Arabidopsis thaliana: one gene and its partner. The main gene of each other region encodes a partner of the protein of the gene in region 2 in a complex. Each region holds a gene or a part of one and is shown on either strand. Other genes may lie near its edges. A codon is read from its position in the direction of its gene.

Region 1 (3,546 bases), on a different chromosome or scaffold from region 2:
GATCCCAAAGCCGGTAAGCAAAAACTTCACCGATGCCGGAAAAAATGTTTAGTAAAGGTGTTTTGGTAGTCGTGTCTGAAAGGTTTTTTGGAAGCCTCTCTAAATATTATAAAAAAAAAAAAAACATAACGATTTTGTTAATTATAATTTAACAGTAAATAAATAAATTTTGACTAATGTACTTTGTTTTTTTTTGTGCAAACATAGTTGTATTCATTCAAACCCAAGAAAGCCTCTTCCACTTTAATAACGGTACTTAATAACGTTTTTTAATATATGGTTGGATCGATCAATGTCATGGACAATAGCATTCCCCTATGCTGATCAATTACTTGTGATATTTAATTTGTTGCCTTCCAAATGATTTATTTACTTTACGTATATAGTATGAGGGGATATATTGTATTGCGATGGGTAGTTTTATAATTCTCGGACATTTAAACATTTTTCATCGCCTTCTTTTTTGATAACTAAAACCTTTCTCATCTTGTAACATCCCTAAGGAAAAAGTAACATCAAAAACGTAAAAGAGTAGCTGGGAGAAGTTGGTTCTACTTATTAAATTTATGTATCTCTCTTAAGGAATAAAGCTATGGTTCACATTCGAGAGACTACGAATCAAAAAATCAATAATTTTTATTTATTGAAAAGAAATTGAAAATGGTCATTAAATAATCATAATAATAGAGAGTTTGATAATAACCCTGAAAATTCAAAATCTAAAGTTGATCACCAAAAAAAAGAAAAGAAAAAGTGAGCCAAAATGTCATGATAGGAAAACAAAAAAAAAGTATGAAAAAAAAATAAAAAAATCTGACTTGCATGTTATCAGAAAAGCATGAATCCTTCACTTCACTATACAATTCTTAATCAATATCTCTCAATTTTCAACAGAAAATAAATTACTCATCCCAACTATATAATGGCCAAATTGTCTCACGCACATGCAAATTCCATTTACAAATCAATTCAATTAGACAAGTACTATATGAAACTTTGAATAATTGTATCAATGGTTCAAAATTTCAAAATCAATGTGAAGATAAGGTATCTAATAATAACATTCAAAATCATGATGAGAGTATTATTTCATAAACATTTCTCTAAGACAATGAAATCAACAAGAACTCTCAACTCGAAGGCGTTGAGGCCTACTTCCTCTAGCTCCGGCATCGTCTCCTGAGTCAGCCATTAACGCAGCTCGAGCAGAGACAATCTGGCTAGACGTAAAAGCAGCGTCGAAGGTCGAAAAATCCATCCATCCCATAAGCAATCCTTCTTTTCCCCAACTATCCGGTATAGGAACTTTTCCGGCAACCTCTTCTCTATGTCTCTTTAGCCTATCACGTCCTGACAACACCGTTGTTTCCGGGAAACATGTCTTTGTACCTGTCTTGTTTTGTTTCCGGTGAGAAGATCCTGGAGAGATTGGTTCCTTGGTTTCTTCAGGCAAATTGGTGTTCTTCATTTTGAACTCTTTTCTTTATTTTTACTTTTGTAGTAGAGATTTTTATTGGCTTCGACGTGTGTGTTGTATATATAAAAATGTTGAGATTTAGAGAGAAATAATAGAAAGAAGAAAAATAATATACAAGGTTGAAAACGAAGGAGAGTGTGACAGAGATTTGTGGTGGCCGTGTCTTCTTGTAGGATCACATATAATAGTAATACCATTATATGGTCGTTGACGTTTCTACGTCTCATGGCATGTTTGGTTTTTCCTTCACCGGTTATCTAGACCCGGCATGAGCATCTAACGTCTAGTCGAAGTATAGATGACCGCTTAAACCGCTTTGTAGAACATGCATAAATGTTATACACATAGAATTCACTGATTTTTATTTTATTTTTGTGAGTTCTTTATTTATTTGATGAGTTAGCTACATTTTAACATAATCTGTTATTTATAGACATCACATACATAATTTATAGAGTTCGATTGGTAATATAGTTTACACATAACGGTTTAGAGCTTCTTTAGTGGTTGTTGAAAAAACGGTTAGAAACAATGTTAGATAAAAGGCGGTTAAGTTAAAACCAAGCAGCTAAATTTTTGGTAATTGATAAGAAGTGGTTGAATACTAAAAAAGTTATAATATAAAATAAATTAAAATATAAATAAATTCCAGAAATTTTTTATTTCTATTTTAAAAAATTCCTTTAGATAATAGTATAAGAGAATATTAATATTTAAAATTTTAAAAATTAAAATATATAAGAAAAAGTCCAAGCATTTCATTGCCAAACAAATTACCTTAATCTTTATAGGTGGCGGGCAACAATCTCTTCAACCCACTATTTCCAACTGCTTCTTCTAATCGCTATTGATCGGAATTTTAAAAGCGGTTTGTTTGCGAAGCGGTTAAAGATTACTAATCAAACTCAAATCAATCAATTTGTTGTAGCATTTTAGTTATATATTCATTATTTTTGCCCCCTTCCCCTCTAAAAGAAAAAGGTTATACATTCATTATTATTTACTTATTATTGACTTAGAAAATATTTATTTATTTAATATCAGAAGAAAAGATATATATATATATATTTAATTGATATGTGTGGTTTTGCTACATCCTAGATATTTTTTTGGGTCTCTCTTCTCAGATCTTTCGTTATTTCCACTTTGGGAAGAAAACAACGTAGCAAGAAGAATCAATTTTGGCTCTCCTTTACGTCACAACTCACACGCAATGAAAGGCACATCTTTATTTTTTTCCACACCAGTCAAATTGATTAATTGTGAAGATTCAGAACATAAATATTCGTCACACATTTCTCAAAAAAAAGAAAAGAAATCAGCATACATGAGGAGAACGTTTCATATTTGATAGTTTATCCGCTGTTTAATACATGATCAAGAAAAATAAAATCAAATAATGAATAAACCCAACCAAAAAAAACAATATTTTGACTAACGTAATCCATTATCAAACCAACCATTTTTTTTTTTTTTGTTAACTCTAATTTAATTTGAAGAAAAATCATATTTATTTTTCTTTAATTCTCTGTGTTGATTGGCCCCATGTAAATTTAAAGCATCAAAATCAAAAGGTTGCGTCAACTTCAATTCATTTGTAAGCCACAAAACAAGATATATTGCAACTTGCTAAAGCAAATTTACTGTCCACTCATGTTGTGATCATACTCATAATTTCTTTTTGTCTACTGAAAGCAAATTTATGAAAACTGACCATTTTTTTTTTTAAAAAGGAGAAACTAGGTTACCGACAATAATTTTCTTGTAATGAACCTAGTTATATTGACCATCCTAATTAGAGGCTCTTAATTGATAACTCTCTTGGGCACGATTATTGAGGCAACTCTCCCTTATCCTACAATGATCACATGTACTTGGTCATATGTGAGTAGTCTCATCAAGAAGTTTTAGGGACTCCAAAGGGAATGACCATCTAAACACTTTTTTTTTGGTAAAAAGTGAAATTTTATAGCATTTTAGTTTTTGACAGACGCTTACAAAGACAAATGAGAAGCAGAAAAAAGATCGAAAAACTACAAAGGAAGAAGAAGAAGGAATAACAAACACAA
Region 2 (5,964 bases):
ATAGTAAAGAAGACGTTATCCGAATCGGATCTTGCTTCTACTCTCTTTTCCACGACAATTCCGATTACGTCGACCCTCATCCAGGCCCCGTCGACTCCTCTCTGGACGAAACCGATGCCATTGTCAAACATTTCGACGCCTGATGATTCCTGACATTGAAGCTTTATCGCGTGGACTTTTTCTCGTTGTTGTGCCATGCAAGTACAGTAAAACCTTTATAAATTAATATTCGATAAATTAATCATTTTTATAAAATAATAAATTCTTTCAGTATTTGGGACTAGTGTAAAAAGCGATACAAATCGATAAATTAATAAAATATTTTTTTTTTGAAAATCCTATGTAAACATATAGTCCCATCAATATCATAAATTAATAATTGTATTAAAATATCAGCTATATATATATATAAGAAATTTCAATGAAATATAATTCTAGTATCGTTTATTTTTGTAATTTAATTTAATATTTTTATTATATCAAAAAAATTCTTGTTGTTTTCAAGATATGATAATTATTTGTAATTGATTATAAAAAAATATTTTAATCATCAAAAAAAATCTTATATTTTTATAGAAATTAAAAAAATCTTACCGTAGTATTCAGTCATTTAGTTACTATTTTTCATTGGGGTTTTTAGACCAATGATTTGTTACTTTTATTTCCAACTGCATTTGTTTCATATAAAAACGTCGTGTATCGAGATTTCCTTTCTTTTCTTTATAAAGAAATATAAATTGGCCGTTATCTTTTTCCTCAAACTAAACAACTCAGATGAAACAAATTCAAAGACTAAACAAATATGTATATTTTATTCATAGCCAATTGAAATAATATCAGCATTATATGTTTATGCAATCATATCCTTTTGAGTATAACCAAAAGGAAACAAAGAGTTAAAAGACACATTCACACATCTACATGTTAGGCTTTATAACAGCACATTATTTTGATCATTTGCAACCATTTTTTCCCAAACTTGTAGTAATCTGATCAGATGAATCTTGAATACCTTCCAGATTCTTCCCTTCTGATGCCAACGAGCAAGACTGCGAAACGAAAAACACACTCGAAGAAGAAGAAGATTCAGCAGTCGAAAACAACTCCCTTTCATCGAATCCCCTAGATTTCTTCATGTCTCTCTCTTCTTCTTCCTCAGGTTTCACTCTCTTTGACCCGTTGTAACGAACAGCCGAAGGTACTTGTTGGTCATTAGAAGACACAGATGGGCAAAGACCAGGTTCTTTAATGGTATTAGCCCCTAAGGCCTCGAAGCTATCTGCTACAATCTCATCAGGTGCTGCTCCGATCATGATCTGTGCTTCACGGGTTCTTGAAATAGCTTTAGCTAGTAGCTCACGAGCTGTGTCGATGTCTACAATGGGTTTCGCATAGTTTGTTCCGAGTTCCACACCAGAAGCTTTGAGTACGGTTAAAGGAGCGTCCCATGGATGATGGATCCATTCAGTTGGCAATCTCGCAAGCTCGGGAAGCCATTGCCTTATGTACTCACCTTCTGGGTCATATTTGGCGCCTTGTAACTGAAATAAAAACAGAGTTTTCATAGACTTCAGAACTAAATCAACCAAACCAAATAAGCTGAAAAATAAAATAAAAAACGAATGCATAGCAAAAACTGGTATTAAGCTTTGAATTCTAAACTATAAGACAAGTTTTGTAGTTTACCGCGGGATTGTCCAAGCGATCAAGCTCGTGGCCATCGGGGATACTCCCAGAGATATACTGCCAGCCAAGGATGTCACATTCCAAATCAGCATCCAAAAGTGTATCCCAGAAATACTTCATTCCCCATTTCCATGGAAGGAGAAGAAACTTCACAGCAAAGCTTGAAACAATCACTCTTATTCTGTTATGCATCCATCCGGTAGCCCAAAGCTCTCTCATTCCGGCATCCACCAACGGATAACCGGTCCTGCCTTGTCTCCAGGCCTTGAACTTATCAACATCAGCATCCCAAGGGAAAAACCGAAGATGACTCAACAACGATTGCTCGTGAGTAAACGGGAAGTTGAAACATATATACCGAGAATACTCTCTTAAACCGATTCCCCTAAGAAAAAGATCTGCACTTTCTTCTCCTTCACTGTTCTTATCTCTTGCCCATATAATTTGTTTCATCCGGGCACACTGGAAAACGTGTCTGACGCTTATTTCCCCGAAATGGAGATACGGAGAAAGTAGTGAAGTAGAATTCCCAACAACTTTCTTGCTGTTCTTTGCATAATCTATCAACTGCTTCTCGATGAACTCATTTAGTAACTTATCAGCATTGCTCCATCCTGGAGACCAAGCTCTAGTTAACAACGCATTGCTCGGTTTCTCGGCCTCATTCTCCAGCCCTAGTTCTTCAATCGAACACGCCCAAATCGCTTCAGCCGCTAACAAAGAAAAAGCCATAAACTTTTACTACCGCTTATGTCCTGAAGAAATCAAAAACGTTTTAGCTTTTAAGTAATACTCTTTAAGGTTTTACCTGCAGTTATTGGCATCAACCGCCAAGGAGGAGGAAGCATAACGGATTCAATCGACATATCTAAGCATTTCTTCCAGTAAGAATTGAAACTCGTAAAAGGTTTGCCCTTTTCGCAGTATATCTCCCACGGTTCATACAATAGATCTCCATTGTAGCTTTGCACAGAGATCCCACGTTCCACCAGCTTCTCCTTTACGGTATGGTCCCGAACTAACGAAACAGGATCTACAACAAAGAAAAACGTGATCGCATCAACCTCAGTTGCACTTAGACTACACTAACTTAATAAGAATATATATCCTTTGAATAAGAGATGAAAGAGTATATACCATAGAGGTGGTTAAAGACGACTTTTGTAGCACCGGTAACGCGGATACAATCCAAGATCGCTGAAATCGTGTTGTGGGTTTTGATTAAAGTGAGGTCAGATCCAAGAGCCTTCAAGGATTGAGATAAGTGAGCAAGTGATTGTTTCATCCACCATCTTGAAGCTCTTCCAGGATAAAACTGTCCTTCTTCTTCAGGACACCAAATGAAGACAGGAAAAACAGATCCTTCGTGAGCAGCTGCTGCTAATGCAGGATTATCCTCAATCCTTAGGTCTCTTCTAAACCAAACTATAGTCTTTTTGTCCATCTTCATAGTTATTATGATCACAGATGAATCAAAGATCAAATCAGCTAAAATTCCACACTCTAACCAAGTTGTTCCATGATTTCAGACCTCAACCTCCTCCAGAGAATAGTTCTATAACAATAACAGAGAATGATTGATAAGAAATCTGTAATCTTTGAGTCCTAAAATCCAAAATAATCTACAAAAAAACATAACAGAGAGAGATTCGATTTAATCCTAATCCTTTTAAACAGAGCAAGCAAGAGAAATTCAATTGAGAGAAACAAAAATCAAAAGCTGGAAACTTTTTACCAGAACTCAAATCAGAGTGGATATCTCTCGGCGACAAAGATCTTCGAATCAAAGACTGTGAAAGTTATTTTAGTGACTTGACTCTTCTTTCTTCCTATTTTGGGTATGCAAAGTTAAAGATTTGAGATCTAACGGAGACCAAAAACAATACCCATATGAGAGTATGAATGTTAATAATTGTGCAATATAATAATCACAACGAGACAAAAGTAGACAACTTTATCCACAACTAGTGGCGTGTGTTCTTATAATAGCGTTTTTTTTACCGACATCTCATCTTTGATTTGCTCATCTACGATTTTATCGGGATCATGTACGAACTTTCTCTTGTGAGATATTTTTTTATAAGAGATCGAATTTTGTTTGAATGTTGAGTGGGCCTAAAGCGCAGTGAAGATACTCTTATCTTCTTATGCTAGAGAAAAAAGTTTTTTAACGTTGGGGCCGAGGACGGTGGTTCATGAACTCGATTCTGGTCATGCCCACTTTTGTAGAATCCATTAAATATCTAAAGTCTATATGGCTTAAAGGTGAGAACTTGATTCTCATTAGTCATTACCAAGTAGAATCTATAATCAAAATCCACTGCTTTTACTTTACAAAAGGAAAAAGGTAAAGATAAAAAAGTTCTCTCAAACTTTGAATCCTCGTATACCCCTTATTAATGGACCATTGCCTACGGTTTATGATTCGATTTCGGATAGTCGTAAAATAGAAGCAATCTAAGTTTTTTGGATGTATATTTTGGTGTCAACTTGGTGTTTGGTTATAAAATATTTGGGTGAAGAAAAATAGAAGTAAAATTAAAATAATCCACATTAGAATTTCAGTTTAATCTAGTGATTTGGTTTTGGTATGAATCTGCAAGAGTAGCATTTCTTTTTGCAATTGCAACACAATAACACCATTCCTCACAAATCACAATTGCACAAACCCATTATCGAAGAGCTCATCAATTTTGGGCTAATTGCTAAAGCAGAAAAAAATAATCGCAAAAGATAACCATGCAACTGCCAATTTTCTTCTTTTCATGGGTAAACCAAATCAGACACATTGAAAAAAACGATATCCTGGTTTAGAAACAGACCAGGGACAATACTCATCAAAGAGACCAAAGAGGTTATAAAACAGTGTTTGGAGATCTTTCAAACACACTTCTTATTCGGACAAAGCCCTGAAAGGCTTTAACTGATCTCACACCTTATAGATGAAAATTTTGCTCCAGAAGGGTTTAAGAGAGGCATGAGTACGCCAAGTCCTTCTCTTCCTTGAGCTCCTCTGCAGTCAAATCCATCTTCTTCCTTGATACTTCATCAATCGGAAGGCCTAACCAAACAAAATACACATTAGGGTCTGCAGAATCTAGGATTTCATAATTGATGAGCATTTGAGTTTGTAAGTGCGTCATATTTACCTTGGACAATACTCCAGTCTCCATTGCGACAAGTTACAGGGAAGGAGTAGATAAGTCCTGATGGAACGCTGTAAGAGCCATCGGAGTATACTCCCATGGAAACGAACGTACCCTGACAATTTGAATCAAAGAAAGAACTCATATTAGATTAACTGTTACAAAAAAACAGCACTGCAAATAACGGGGAAGAGTTTTATTATGAACCTCTGGAGTTCCAAGGACCCAGTCACGGATGTGGTCACAAGCAGAGCTAGCAGCAGAGAGCGCACTAGACAACTTCCTCGCCTTGATGATTGCAGCTCCACGTTGTTGAACTGTAGAGATAAATTCTCCGTCCAACCTACAGAATGAGCAATATATTTAAGTGAAACTAGATTTTGCTTCCAGAGAAGAGAAAGGGTCTTAAGTTCTATGGCATGTTATACATACCATGCATCGTCCTTGACGAGCTCACGGACAGGCTTCTCTCCAGACGAGGTCTGCACTTTAGCATGGTTGACATCTGGGTACTGTGAGGATGAGTGGTTTCCCCAGATGATCACGTTCTTAACATCAGACACTGGCACGCTCAACCTCTCAGAGATCTGTCCCAAAGCCCTGTTGTGGTCAAGCCTTGTCAAACAAGAGATGTTCTTTTCAGGGATTGATGGTGCAAATTCCTTGAGGATCAATGCGTTGGTGTTTGCCGGGTTGGCCACAACAAGAACCTGAAAAAAAAAAGACAAAACGAGAGCGAATGTGTGAGCAAGAGAGTCGTAAACTAGAACCCAATAGAGAACACAAAGCATCTGTTACACTCCAATGAACAGAGAAGATTGGATGCAGTGGCTTCATTTAACTTAAAAAGCAAACAGATCGTATCACCTTGCAGTTAGGAGCGGCATGCTTCTCCAAGGCAGCAGCCTGAGACTTGTAGATGGAAACATTCTTGGACATCACATCCTTCCTCTCCATACCTTCTTTCCTCGGGAAACCACCAACCATAACAGCAACATTGACTCCAGTACATCCCTCAACGGCATCAGTTGTAGCAACAACACCTGATAATAATACACATCAAATATTCATCTTCTCCTTTCCCACTTATACAAAACAACTTATGACACGGAATGCAAATATCCACAGCAAA

What was found.
Region 1: the proteins of CRY2 (region 2) and AT3G44450 are in contact, whole or in part, in a crystal structure (PDB 6K8K), measured with the Arabidopsis thaliana proteins. Residues at the interface, in NP_171935.1 of Arabidopsis thaliana: Gln45 (codon at 3,004), Phe46 (codon at 3,001), His102 (codon at 2,833), Tyr104 (codon at 2,827), Pro106 (codon at 2,717), Leu109 (codon at 2,708), Val110 (codon at 2,705), His113 (codon at 2,696), Lys116 (codon at 2,687), Ser128 (codon at 2,651), Trp138 (codon at 2,621), Leu205 (codon at 2,325), Thr207 (codon at 2,319), Arg208 (codon at 2,316), Ala209 (codon at 2,313), Trp210 (codon at 2,310), Ser211 (codon at 2,307), Leu220 (codon at 2,280), Glu223 (codon at 2,271), Phe224 (codon at 2,268), Gln228 (codon at 2,256), Gly241 (codon at 2,217), Asn242 (codon at 2,214), Thr244 (codon at 2,208), Ser245 (codon at 2,205), Leu246 (codon at 2,202), Cys301 (codon at 2,037), Phe302 (codon at 2,034), Pro305 (codon at 2,025), Ala323 (codon at 1,971); in NP_190031.1 of Arabidopsis thaliana: Arg41 (codon at 1,348), Arg43 (codon at 1,342), Leu44 (codon at 1,339), His47 (codon at 1,330), Arg48 (codon at 1,327), Glu49 (codon at 1,324), Val51 (codon at 1,318), Ala52 (codon at 1,315), Gly53 (codon at 1,312), Val55 (codon at 1,306), Pro56 (codon at 1,303), Ile57 (codon at 1,300), Pro58 (codon at 1,297), Asp59 (codon at 1,294), Ser60 (codon at 1,291), Trp61 (codon at 1,288), Lys63 (codon at 1,282), Glu64 (codon at 1,279), Leu67 (codon at 1,270), Met68 (codon at 1,267), Trp70 (codon at 1,261), Phe76 (codon at 1,243), Asp77 (codon at 1,240), Ala79 (codon at 1,234), Phe80 (codon at 1,231), Thr81 (codon at 1,228), Gln84 (codon at 1,219), Ile85 (codon at 1,216), Ser87 (codon at 1,210), Ala88 (codon at 1,207).

Annotation. Positions count from the first base shown.
Region 1 is NC_003074.8:16,073,111-16,076,656, forward strand, and holds AT3G44450 (uncharacterized protein), read right to left. Parts: upstream 1,820-3,546; 5' UTR 1,469-1,819; coding exon 1,118-1,468; 3' UTR 655-1,117; downstream 1-654. UniProt on the Arabidopsis thaliana protein: Regulates the blue-light dependent dimerization of CRY2 and formation of photobodies. Inhibits CRY phosphorylation.
Region 2 is NC_003070.9:1,184,766-1,190,729, forward strand, and holds CRY2 (cryptochrome 2), read right to left. Parts: upstream 3,932-5,964; 5' UTR 3,422-3,931; intron 3,309-3,421; exon of another isoform or gene 3,242-3,308; 5' UTR 3,137-3,241; coding exon 2,824-3,136; intron 2,720-2,823; coding exon 2,495-2,719; intron 2,400-2,494; coding exon 1,687-2,399; intron 1,542-1,686; coding exon 954-1,541; 3' UTR 747-953; downstream 1-746. Other genes in the region: c-NAD-MDH1 (Lactate/malate dehydrogenase family protein), read right to left, coding at 4,653-4,747, 4,836-4,947, 5,040-5,175, 5,265-5,542, 5,700-5,875.